Rattus norvegicus: one gene and its partners. The protein of the gene in region 3 purifies or fractionates together with the protein of the main gene of each other region. This does not show direct contact. Links are inferred from orthologs where the notes say so. Each region holds a gene or a part of one and is shown on either strand. Other genes may lie near its edges.

Region 1 (4,161 bases), on a different chromosome or scaffold from region 3:
TGCTTGTGAATACAATCCCCTAGAGGACTTTAGAGATTGACTGAACTTAGGGTTGGGGATTTAGCTCAGTGGTAGAGCGCTTGCCTAGGAAGCGAAGCGCAAAGCCCTGGGTTCGGTCCCCAGCTCCGAAAAAAAGAACTGCTGAGTCATCTCTGATCGAGCCCCAATAAAAAGAAAATCTAAAGGCAAACCTAACCCACGATAGTAGAAATCCAGTATGGTTATCTTTCTGAGATGATAAAATACTGTTTTTGTGAGGCAGGATCTCCCTATGTAGACTTACTTGGCATGGACTGGTTACCTAGAATAGTCTGACCTTGAACTCACAGAGATTCTCCTGCCGCTGCCTCCCAGGTGCGGGAATTAAAGACATGCTCCACCATGTTTACCAAAATATCCTTTAAATTTTTTTCCGTTACATTTATTTATGTTGTGTTTGTGGGTGTCACCACACCCACGGCATTCATAGTGAGGTCGGAGGACAAAATGCAGATCGCGGCTCACCTTCCATCACTGAGTCTCCAGAGGTCGAACTCAGGTAGTTGCGATTGTACCTGCCGACTCACCTTGCCGACCTGATAAAGTATTCCTTATTTTAATGAGGTTACTTAGAAGGAATAGATGCCTACAAAAGTAAATAATACATCAATACTTGTCAGAATCACCTAGCATAGGGAAGTGGGGAGGGAGGATCTGGGTGGAACTGGGGAAGAGAAATACATGATCAAGAAAAATTGTATGACAATTTTCAATAAAAAAGAATCATATAACAGTAATGATATTGAGGGAAAAAATGGTGGGAAATGGAACTATTTCTGATATTTCCGTAAGGTAAAAGTTATGTTTTCAAGTGAGGCGGCACACGGCAGAGATTGCTAAGAGTTTGATGACAGCTCAGGCTACATTAACGAGTATTATGTAAACTAGGGTGACAAAGCAAGACGCTGTCTGGAAAAAAAAGTTGGAGAAGGAAAAAAAACCCCACATCTCTTGCTATGGAAAAATTTAATTGTATTTTCACCCGTAAAAAGAAAAACAAAGTCTCCGATAGCAGAGGATGGTTTCGATCCATCGACCTCTGGGTTATGGGCCCAGCACGCTTCCGCTGCGCCACTCTGCTACCTACTGGTAGGCTATGCTTGTATTACCATAGAAGACTTTACCTGCTTACAGCCTCAAATTCTGAACGCCCTCTACTGTAAGTGGGGGAAATTGCCTCTGTCCCTGGTATGTCTTCTTATTGGTTGACTCCTTTACAGAGCATTTCCATTGGTTGCTGGGTTAACCAATAAACGCACGGGACGGAGTGAGGCGGGAGCCTATCGCGCAGGCGTTTGTTGGGACACGCCGACCCGACGTTTCTCTGTTACCTTGATTCTTCCAAGCGAAGAGCGGTTGAGTGGTCTCCATTGTTCAGGATTAAGCGAGCCATGAGGTAAGTAGACAGGGTGCTTGAAAGTTCCTGCCGTAGCCTCGAGGGATGGGGGGTTGGAGTTGGGGAGCAGGCTGAAATGGAGTCGGGGGAAGAAGGGCCTGTATCTGGGCGGCCGGCGGAAAGCCGGGCCGGAGAGAGTGGAGTAGGAGGAGGCTGGCCGACTCGGGGAATCGGGCCTGGAGGGGGGCCGGGCCCCAGCAGGGCAGTTGTGTTGATTCCTGGGTCTCGGGGGATGGAGGAGAGGTCTTAACGGACCAGGAAGATCACCCTCCGTGCGCAGTGAGCAGGCTGGAGCGCTGCACATTTTTCTGGTGCCTAGTGTTTGACCAATTGGACATGTCTCGTAACTGGTATGCTGTATTAATAAATGAGAAGTCACCTTACCCTGAATATTACGACCCGTGTGCCTCAGGATCGTGGGTTACTTAGTAGGGGTATGTATGTCAGGTTCTGAAACTCGTATTTTCCTGATGTGAGTTTTGATAAAATCCTGAATTAGAAGTGGGGTGTGGTGGCTCAGGATGCAGTCTTGGGGTGGGGGGAGGTAATGCAGGAGATACATGAGATTCCGTTTCAAAAACAGAAGAAAAAAAAGTCCAGAATTAGGATGTCATGAGAGTGGGACTGGACATCATTTGGAATCGGGGAGAAGTGAGCATGATATATCTGTCGACTTCAGTAGTTGGAGGGGGGTCAGGGTAAGTCACATTGAAATAACATTGATGGTGTGATGGAAACCTTTTTCAGCAACATGAGAGTAAAATGTATGTACTTTTAGGGGTGACAGAGGACGTGGTCGTGGTGGGCGCTTTGGTTCCAGAGGAGGTCCTGGAGGAGGGTGAGTGTGGCTGTTCACGTCTTTGCCTTGGTTTGTTTCAGTAGATAGGAGTTTGGAGTAGATTGTTCTGTTTGATTTTGTGAAAACCACTCGAAGCATTTCTTTTCCTCATGTCCTACAAAGTGAATTTGGCTTTTTGCTAAGAATGATGCAGCTTAGAAATGCCTGAATTCTTTTTTTTTTCGGAGCTGGGGACCGGAACCCAGGGCCTTGCGCTTCCTAGGCAAGCGCTCTACCACTGAGCTAAATCCCCAACCCCAGAAATGCCTGAATTCTTAAGACAGAATTCTCTTGCTTGCTTTCTGCCTGAATAATTTTGGATTGTTTTCATGTTTCAGGTTCAGGCCTTTTGTGCCCCACATCCCCTTTGATTTCTATTTGGTGAGTATTTTGGCTTTGGAGAACTTGACTGGCTACTGCTCACTTACAGGTGTAGAAGCCCAGAATCCTTGTTAATGACGTTAGATACTGTTTGGAGTAGGATTCAAGAATGGATCTGTTCTTTGAGAGTGGGTCTTCTGTATGATTGGCTGGCCTGGAACTCTATGTATACCAAGCTGACTGCAAATTCATCATCTTCCTGCCTCAGCCTCCTGAATGCTAGAATTACAGGCATTCATCTGCTGTAAGTTTTTTTTTTTTTTAAGATTTATTTATTTATTATATATAAGTACACTGTAGCCGTCTTCAGACACACCAGAAGAGGGCATCAGATCCCATTACAGACAGTTGTGAGCCACCATGTAGTTGCTGGGAATTGAGCTCAGCACCTCTGGAAGAGCAGTAGTGCTCCTAACCACTGAGCCATCTCTCCAGCCCCCCTGCTGTAAGTTTTTATTTACTTAGTTTGAGTGCTAGAGATGTGAACATGCTACATGTATACCCCATTAACTGGTTTTATTTTATTATTGTATTTATTATATATTGCAATCTACTTAGAGCTATAACTACAGGTCTAACATGGCTCTAGCAGAGGACACAAGTTTTTCCCGGTTCTTACATCGTACATAGTGCACATCTGTCTGTAACTCTGATTTCCAAGGCTCTTACGTCTCTGTTGACTTCCACAGGCTCTTGCACACAGGATGCATATACACACACTGTGGCACTCGCATATACATAAATACATATTAAAAACAAGCCAGTTCACCAGCCCAGCCAGTCTTAAAGAGAATGAAGTCCTTTTGTGATACCAGCAATGGAAACCCCAGCAATAGGACCATTGTTAGTGTTCAGGGCCAGCCTGGGCTACAAATGAACCGTCTCAATAAGAACAAAACTTAGAAAAGAGTGTAAGCAAGGCAGGGAAGATACTTTCTTTACAGTTTGATTGTAATATTTGTCTAGAAAATACTTTTTTTTTTTTTTCTTTTTTTTCGGAGCTGGGGACCGAACCCAGGGCCTTGTGCTTGCTGGGCAAGCGCTTTACCACTGAGCTAAATCCCCAACCCTAGAAAATACCTTTTTTTTAAAAAAAAATATTTTTAGGACTTATTTATTTACTTTGAGACATTGCGTGTGTGTGTGTGTGTGTGTGTGTGTATGTGTGTGTGTGTGTATAAAACCTTGGCTGGCCTGGAACTCAGAGATCTGCCTGCCTCTGCCTCCAGAGTGCTCAATGTGTATATTATACTACATGGTAGATTATAATTAGTTTCTTTCTTTCTTCATTTATGTTTGGATTTTTAAACAGGGCTTTTCTCTGTAGCCCTGGCTATCCTGGAACTCAGAAACCCACTTGCCTCTGCCTCCTGAGTGTGTGCCACCATTGCCATCTGGCTTTTTTTTTTTTTTTATCAGGGGCAGCTCTTTTTTTTTTTTTTTCGGAGCTGGGGACTGAACCCAGGGCCTTGCGCTTGCTAGGCAAGTGCTCTACCGCTGAGCTAAA
Region 2 (4,166 bases), on a different chromosome or scaffold from region 3:
CAGAAAATTACACTATCTAAAATATGTCTGGTCCCATGACCAAAAATAAGTTCTTACAACAAACACCATAATAAACTAACACTCTACACTCAACACTAATCTAATGTTAAAAAGAGCTTACCTTTAACTTGCAGTACTTTGCTAAACAGCAATATGAGGAAGTAGTTAAGATGGCTGAGTAGAATCCTCAAAGGTCTACTCTGAACTACAATACTAAATATAGGCAAAGTTAACACTTTGGAAATACTTCTAATTTCCACCTTTTAAGATGGGCTTAAGTTATTTGAAGGTCTCCAGGAAGAAAATGTGAATTTTACAACATATATTCAGCAACCTACTTTCAGTACCTAGACTACTCAACTTTAAAGTCTAATACTAAATCATGTCGCCAGAAGCTGCCATACCTCACTGCTCAGCAACAAACAGGACTACATACCTGAGAAGAACTGAACAATTTCTTCCTTGCTACATCCAAAAGGGAGTCCTCTAAGCCGTACAAAGCCATCATTGGCCGTGTCAGGACTATTGGGACCAGTATGCTTCAACACCCAATCCATTTCAACGTTGTTTGACTTGAATACTGAAAGAGGTGCTTAGAATTAGTCAATTAAGTTAGAGAACAAAGTCCAGATTTCCTGGGTTTTAGATAACTAGGAAGAGCTGCCATAAACTCCCTTAGATGACCATTTCCATGCGGTCAAATACCTAAAATTCAGAAGGGGTAAGACCTCTATGTGTTTAAACATTTACTGTTACTAGGGCAATGTAAATCAAACCTTCAACATATCTGTGTCCCATAGTTTCTCTGTCTTTTTTCAAGGCCAATTTGACTTCATCTTCTGATTCAAGTTCAACAAAAGCCTCGCCACTCGGTCTGCCTTCTCTGGTGTAGATGAAACGAATACCTTGAGCCCCATTTTGAATTTTGCAGTCTGAAAAGAAAACAATGCTTAATACAGAATTTAAAACCACCTCTGGGTGATACAGATGAGATGCATATTCCTGTCATCATTAAAAAAAAAAAAAAAAAAACCCACTCCTAAAGACTAAACTGATCACTCACCATCAAATTACCTGGTATATAGGATATATTCCTAATCCATCAAGGTACCTTAATACTCAAAAACAGTTCAAATGAAGCTACTGCCTTGCCTCTAAGTATCCACTAACCATCTCTGCACAATGTCTCAGAATAACCTCATCTGGGCCTGGTGACCTCACAGCATTTTCTGGGTGGGGTACCATGTCAGCTCTCCTCTATCAGCAGCCACATAACTGCTCACTCAAATCCAAACTCCAGCTCAATACTCACCTGAAAGGGCATCAATGTAAACAACTAAAGGCTCCAAACTGCACAGCTCAAGTCAAACCCGATGGCAACTGCCCCCTGCCATTGCTTCCAGTATACTTGAGTCTTGTTTTACAGGTCGTTTTCTGTTACCACAGCTAAATTCAGACAGTAAGGTCAACACTACAGGTACCTTTTTACGAAACTTGTCAATGTTTTTGAAATACACCTCTCTTCTCTTACAACAGTGGGAATAAGATTCTGATAGAAATTATTCAGAAAGCCTACACATAGTGTAAAAATAAGTAAGATTCTACAGTGACAAAACTTTCTTGGGTTTCAGGGTTCTCAGTTGTAAAGGGATCCAGTTTTTTAATTAACTAGACCTAGAGCATGAATTCAAGGACCAAATCCTAATCAGGAAAAATGAACTTTTCCAAAGCAGAATGCCTCTTTTCAAGTGAATATATGTAAGGAAGTGCAGTAGCGCTTCAAAGGGGAAATTACTATCACTTGTCTGTACTGCTCCATTTGTTTTTCAAGACCAGGAAAGAAATCATATCTTTCCCTACTGAATTCTTTCAGAGACAATTCCAAAATGCACAGATTGGTGCTTAGAGACCGAAAAGATTCTGCAGGGCCACCAGCATCCCAATGGGAGAAGGGGAGGGGGGCGGGAGGAGGGGGCATTTCGCAATTACCATTGCGTAACAGCGGCTGGCAGAGCGCGAGCCCGGGAACCGCTGGTGCCTGCGACTCGCTAGGGGGCGCCCAGAGGTCCGCCCCGCCCCGCCCCGCCCCGCCCGGCCCAGCCGCGGGCCCCCACTGACAACTCCCGCCTCAACTCACCAGAAAAAAACCGCTGCACTTCATCCGCGGAGCAGGACCAGGGCAAGCCCCGGACCTTCACCACGAAGCCCTCTCCGCCTTCTGCTCCCAGCATCATCGTCTCTTCGCTGGTCCTGGCGTCGAAACAGACTGCAGGGCTGCGGGGTGGGAGGGGGGTGGGGTTGTTAGGAACACGTCTAAGAAACAGTCATTTAAATGGCCCTCCCACTTCAAGGCGCCCTGCGGGGTTCGACCGGGCGCCGCTACGGGAGCCCCGCCCGGTACGCTGCCTTGACCCCGGAGACTCAAGCATGCAACCCGGCCTCGGCTAGCGACCCGATCCCCAACACCACTCTGTGCGCTCAGTGCTGAGGAGGGTCTAGGCTAAGAAAACCCTGGCCTACAGCCATGGTGGAGACAAGGAAATGGCGGCCGCCGCTTCCGCTCCGCCTCCTCAGACATCTCACACAATAGAAGCGGCGCGGCCTGCAGGCCTAGGCGGCGCTGCCACGCCGGCGAGACACTCGCGGTTTCCAGGGGTAGCCTGTGCTTGCCACGGCCCCCCAGGTTTTAACCTAAGTTCAGCGACAAGCAATCGTCACCAAAATAGGCGTCCGTGGAGGGCTCTGGTAGCAAACGAAGACAGAACACCACTCACCTCCACACAAAGCCTCGGCGTGGCTGAGGAAAAATGATAGGAGAGCGCCTGCGCAGCCTAAATAAAGCCCTCCGAGCAAACTCTGCGCACGCGCACCCCGTGGCCGGCCCCGCCCCACTCGCGTCACACAAAGATTAAACGCATGCGTATTAAGAAAACCTGCGCTCTCTCCCGCTAGCCCATTATTACACGCATGCGTTTGGGCTCCGGCCCCTTCATAAACTGACCGAGGGGTTTTTTTCTTCCTGCGCCTGCGCCCTTTTGCAATTATTGCGCTTGGCGTCTCAGCGGTTTATCGTTTTACTTAAAGCGCATGCGTCTGCCTTCAAACCGTTCTCTAGACCTACCCGCCAGAGTGGGGGAGGGGAATGGCGATAATCAGCTCCCAGCAGGGACTGGGTAATAATCCAGAGTTCAGGTTTACAGGGGCGGTTGTTCTACCCTTAATCCGCAGCTTTTCTTCCGCGTTCCTGTCAGTTTTGAAAGACAGCAGGAGGAAAAGGAAGCCATGCCCTTTCTCCCTAGAACGCGTAGGAGCTGGAAGGCCGGTTTATGCCGAGCCTCCTCTCCGTACCGCCCCGCCCCTGCGCCCAAATCCCAGATCACCGTGGGGTGCCTAGGACCAGTCCCCTTACCTGCCCGCTTTAGGGGATCAGTCCCCGACCCACATGGGCTGTCAGTGCCCGAGCTAGTCCTGTATCCCACTTTGCCTAACGAACTCGCAGTCTGCGAACCCCTCGCCTTCCCAAGGCCGCGGGCCCTCGCACGAGAAGCGCTCTGTGTGCTGCGCCTCGCGAGTGAAGGCTGAGACTACCAGGTGCGCGGAGGACGCAACCCCAGAGCGCGGCGCCCGACCGATGTACCTCTCCCAGGTGGAGACACCTCCGGGTCATCTCGTGTGCACTTACAGAGATAAATGGGTAAAAAGTTAGAATTCCAGCAACACAGCAGAATACGGATGATGTTCGGAGTCTCTCCGGATTTGACTGACCCACCCCTGCCAGACCTGGTAGAAATTAACAATAGTGTTATTGTTTTGGTGGTGCCACAGTGGGTACCACAGTTGGTATGCCTCTGAATGCCATCACAAGAGGTCGCGGTCAAAATTACGTTTTTCTTTCAAGTACAATATTGAGGAGGCTAAATCCACTTTGGATAGTTTTTTTTAAGGGGGTGGTGGTCATCAAAGGAAAGGTGCAGAGACAGCATGCAGAACTTGGACCTTTTAAGTCTGCGCAAGGGTGTTAAGTAGACAGAAGCTTTCAGCAAGAGAGCAACAGGAGCTGTGTAACATGAACCTTCAGGTGTAAGGGAAACTCCGATGAAACAGGCTGGGAGAATAGTGGGGCATGACCTCACCTGCAAAGGAGCTATCTAGAGGAGACGGAAAAC
Region 3 (3,632 bases):
CTCACAAGTGCCTGTGTAACCTCATCTACCTGACTTTATTGAAAGTTAGGGTTCACATTTAATCCAAATCAATTGCCAGATTCAAACTGTCCCCATTCTACCTTAAGTATCTTATGCTTTTTTATCCCCTAACAAGAGACAGGAAGTTTGACTGGGTCTAAAATGAAGTACTTATGTTGGCTTCTAACAAGGAAGTTTTATTTCAGGTCTTTGTAGGTAAAATTCCAAGAGACTTGTATGAGGATGAGTTGGTGCCCCTTTTTGAGAAGGCTGGTCCTATCTGGGATCTACGCCTCATGATGGATCCACTTTCTGGTCAGAACAGAGGCTATGCGTTTATCACCTTCTGTGGAAAGGAAGCCGCCCAGGAAGCAGTTAAACTGGTATGTGATAAATATCCATTGTCCAAGAACTGCCATTTGAGAGAATAAAAGCATTTGCAGTTAACATTGTTTCATTTTCTTTAGTCTCTACTTTTAATATCTTTATATTGACTGATTCTTGGTATGTAACCTTTTTTATTTTTTCTGATTATAATTCTAAGATAACAGATTAGTTAGCACAATTTTATTTAGTATCAAACAAATGTTTTTTCTTTTAATGTCATTTCTCTCTGTCAAACTTTAATTTGGTACTAAAGTATACTGGAGGCTGAAATGGTTCTGCAGAATGTAACTGGAAGACAGTAACTTCTCTAGGAGAAATAGCATGACTGTTTTATTTTTATCACAATCCAGCTATGCAGTTAATACATTGTGTTCTAAATCTCTGCTTCTCTGCTGTGTAATAGCTGGCTTCTGTGGCTTTCCTTTTCTCTAAGAGCTGTACGACCTTGCATTCCTTAGAGCAGCAGCAGTTTTGAGGATGCCTGGATTCTCTCTGACTCTCTCGGTGTGTTAAAGTGACAGTGTTATTGTTCTGGCAGATTTCTGCCAGCTATCTAAGGGCATATGCAATATGGTATGGCACTTCTTGCCTTCTTTTAAGCACAGCTATATCTGCCAAGTGTGCCTGTTTCATTAGTGAGTGTGAATAAGTCCTTTACTAGCTTGGTCCAGGTTTTAGTATTTCTGAGGGATTTTTTTTTCTTCAAACTTGTTTATTCAATATTAAGGAGATTTCAGGACTTTATATTCTAGTTTTTGATAGGGTATAGGTAACTAAAAAGATTTATTTATTTATATATATGAGTGCTCTATTTGCATGTTTGCCTGCATGACAGAAGAAGGCATCAAGATGCCCTTATAGATGGTTGTGAGCCACACGTGGTTGCTGGGAATTGAACTCAGGACCTCTGGAAGAGCAGCCAGTGCTCTTAACTGCTGAGCTATCTCACCAGTCCCATGAATAACTTTTAAAATCATATCTTTTAGTAAGCTAGTGGTAAGTAATGCTAAAATATAAAGTATTATTTAAGAATTCACATTTTTTATTGTCTTCATAAAGTTTTGGAAGTGTTCTGATACTTTGTGGCTTTATTTAGAATTGTGGTTTGTATACAGTGTGAAACTCCTTTAAGTTTCTTTGGCATTGATTAAAGTAAATTCTTCCTTATTTTGGCTATTGCTGATCTATATCTAATTTCATCCTCAAGGACTCTGAATAAACATTTTCAGGTATTTTGAAATTTTCTGGAAAGGAATGTTCAGGTAGATAAAATTGAAATAAGTCAGCAGTGATGGTGCATGTCTTTAATTTTAGCACTTGGGAGGTAGAGAAATGCAGGTGGATTTCTTGAGTCGAAGGACAGCCTGATCTACACAGTGAGTTCCAGGACATCCAGGGCTATACAGAGAAACCATGTCTCAAAAACAAAAAAATGGGGAGGGGGATATTCAGGGCTAAATTTTAGCCCTTTTTTATAACTGGAGACTGTAAGAAATTTAAAATCTACACTCATGTTTCAGCAAGCGTGAAGGAGCTTGGTGAGTGTTTGATCTTAAATTGTGGGGCTCTTTAGATTAATATTAGTTGTCCTCAGTCTGGGGTGGTTTGGGGGTCTCTGGTTTTTTTCTTCCTTGCAGTGTGACAGCTATGAGATTCGCCCTGGTAAACACCTGGGAGTGTGCATTTCTGTGGCAAACAACAGACTTTTTGTTGGATCCATTCCAAAGAATAAAACTAAAGAGAATATTCTGGAAGAGTTCAGTAAAGTCACAGGTAAAACAAAAATGCATTTAGAAGTTGGTTTGTGGGAATCTGTTGCATTATTTACAAATATAAATGCTCTCCCAGAAGGAGATATATAGTAAACAGAGAGTTCAAGTCTCCTGTATCTCGTTTGTTTCTTTCTGCTTTAATAGTAGTTGGACTAAATAAATGTCTAAATACTCTTGATTTCATAGAATTTTCTTTTTGCTTTGTCTTAATCAACCCTTGTTTTTTGCTCTTTAGCCCTCAAGTGAAAGTGTTTTCCTTCAAAAGCTTTTTAGGATTAGAGAGAAGGCAGTTCTCATTTCCAGTTAACCTGTCTACATAAAAATTTAAAAATTCTGATTGAATCTGTGCAGTTGATTGAGAAGTATATTTTATATCTCAGCTCCACATACTTAAATACATACCTGGAGTCATGCATAGGGATGCATAGGCTTAGCACTTGGAGGTTAGGAGTTTTAAAAAAAGCTCAACTCAAGAATAGTCTGGAATACATGAGATTCTATCTTAAAAAGCAAAGCAGAAGACTAAATGTATAATGTGAAAGAATTGAGTAAGACTATACCTTGATTATACAAATGATTCCATCGACTTTCCATTAACTTTCACTTTTTATGTGGGTGCTGGGGATTTGAACTTATATTCTCTTGCTTTCACAACAAGCACTCTTCCCACTGAGCCATTTCCCTACAGCCTTCAAAGGCCTGGAGTTTGCTATGTAGCCCAGGCTGGACTTGAATTTACAGAGATTTAACTGCCTTCACCTCCAGAATGCTGGAATTAAAGGAGTGTGCACCACATCTGGCCTGCATTTCAGTTTTTAATGTGAGATTGGACTAGTGAGATGGCTCAGCTGTTAGAGCTGTTCTTACTGCAGGCCTCAGGATCTGAGTCAACTCCCAGATCACTAAAATTGGCAGGAGAGAGCCCACTCGATAAGAGTTGTTCTTTGACTTCTGCAGATGCACGATGCCTTAGGAGCATCTGTTAACATGCACACTAGCCTGCTCGCTCGGTCTCGCTCTCTCCCTCTCTCCTCTCCTCTCTCTTCTCCTCCCTCTTCCTCCCCTCCCTCTCTCTCCCTCTGTCTCTGTGCGTGTCTCCTTGTTTCTCCCTCCTTCCTCTGACACACATGAATGAATGAGACAAAGAAAGGGAGGGAAAGAAATGGTGAGATTATGATCTGAAAACAGTTTTAAGACCATGATTTCCTCTTATGAAAACCAGTACATTCTTTCATGTTTTGTTACCCAGTCATACTGTTTATCCCCGTTACTTACAGCTACCGTTTACTTTACCTTAAAGGCTGCCCCATGCTGTCCTCCCTCTCCCATCCTAGGTTGACTGACTTATTGTTAGTGCTCTCATCCGTTCATTTTTGGGTTTTCTTTTTTAAAAGGTTTATTGTGTGTGTGTGTGTGTGTGTGTGTGTGTGTGTGTGTGTGTGTGTGTGTCTGTGTCTGTGTCTGTGTCTGTGT

What was found. Proteins that work in one complex are often made in the same cells at the same time.
Region 1: the proteins of Hnrnpr (region 3) and Ilf2 purify together in Homo sapiens (affinity purification with mass spectrometry; 3 studies listed by BioGRID and IntAct, counting the BioPlex papers as one, with this or other methods). This does not show direct contact. The link is inferred for Rattus norvegicus from reciprocal best matches to the Homo sapiens genes HNRNPR and ILF2.
Region 2: the proteins of Hnrnpr (region 3) and Hnrnph1 fractionate together in Homo sapiens (co-fractionation; 3 studies listed by BioGRID and IntAct, with this or other methods). This does not show direct contact. The link is inferred for Rattus norvegicus from reciprocal best matches to the Homo sapiens genes HNRNPR and HNRNPH1.

Annotation. Positions count from the first base shown.
Region 1 is NC_086020.1:178,255,603-178,259,763, forward strand, and holds the start of Ilf2 (interleukin enhancer-binding factor 2), read left to right. Parts: upstream 1-1,324; 5' UTR 1,325-1,430; coding exon 1,431-1,435; intron 1,436-2,213; coding exon 2,214-2,273; intron 2,274-2,611; coding exon 2,612-2,654; intron 2,655-4,161. UniProt on the Homo sapiens protein: Chromatin-interacting protein that forms a stable heterodimer with interleukin enhancer-binding factor 3/ILF3 and plays a role in several biological processes including transcription, innate immunity or cell growth.
Region 2 is NC_086028.1:35,193,304-35,197,469, reverse strand, and holds the start of Hnrnph1 (heterogeneous nuclear ribonucleoprotein H), read right to left. Parts: upstream 2,838-4,166; 5' UTR 2,775-2,837; exon of another isoform or gene 2,692-2,774; intron 2,275-2,691; 5' UTR 2,235-2,274; coding exon 2,138-2,234; intron 933-2,137; coding exon 777-932; intron 581-776; coding exon 437-580; intron 1-436. UniProt on the Homo sapiens protein: This protein is a component of the heterogeneous nuclear ribonucleoprotein (hnRNP) complexes which provide the substrate for the processing events that pre-mRNAs undergo before becoming functional, translatable mRNAs in the cytoplasm.
Region 3 is NC_086023.1:153,843,403-153,847,034, forward strand, and holds part of Hnrnpr (heterogeneous nuclear ribonucleoprotein R), read left to right. Parts: intron 1-206; coding exon 207-383; intron 384-2,024; coding exon 2,025-2,160; intron 2,161-3,632. UniProt on the Homo sapiens protein: Component of ribonucleosomes, which are complexes of at least 20 other different heterogeneous nuclear ribonucleoproteins (hnRNP). hnRNP play an important role in processing of precursor mRNA in the nucleus.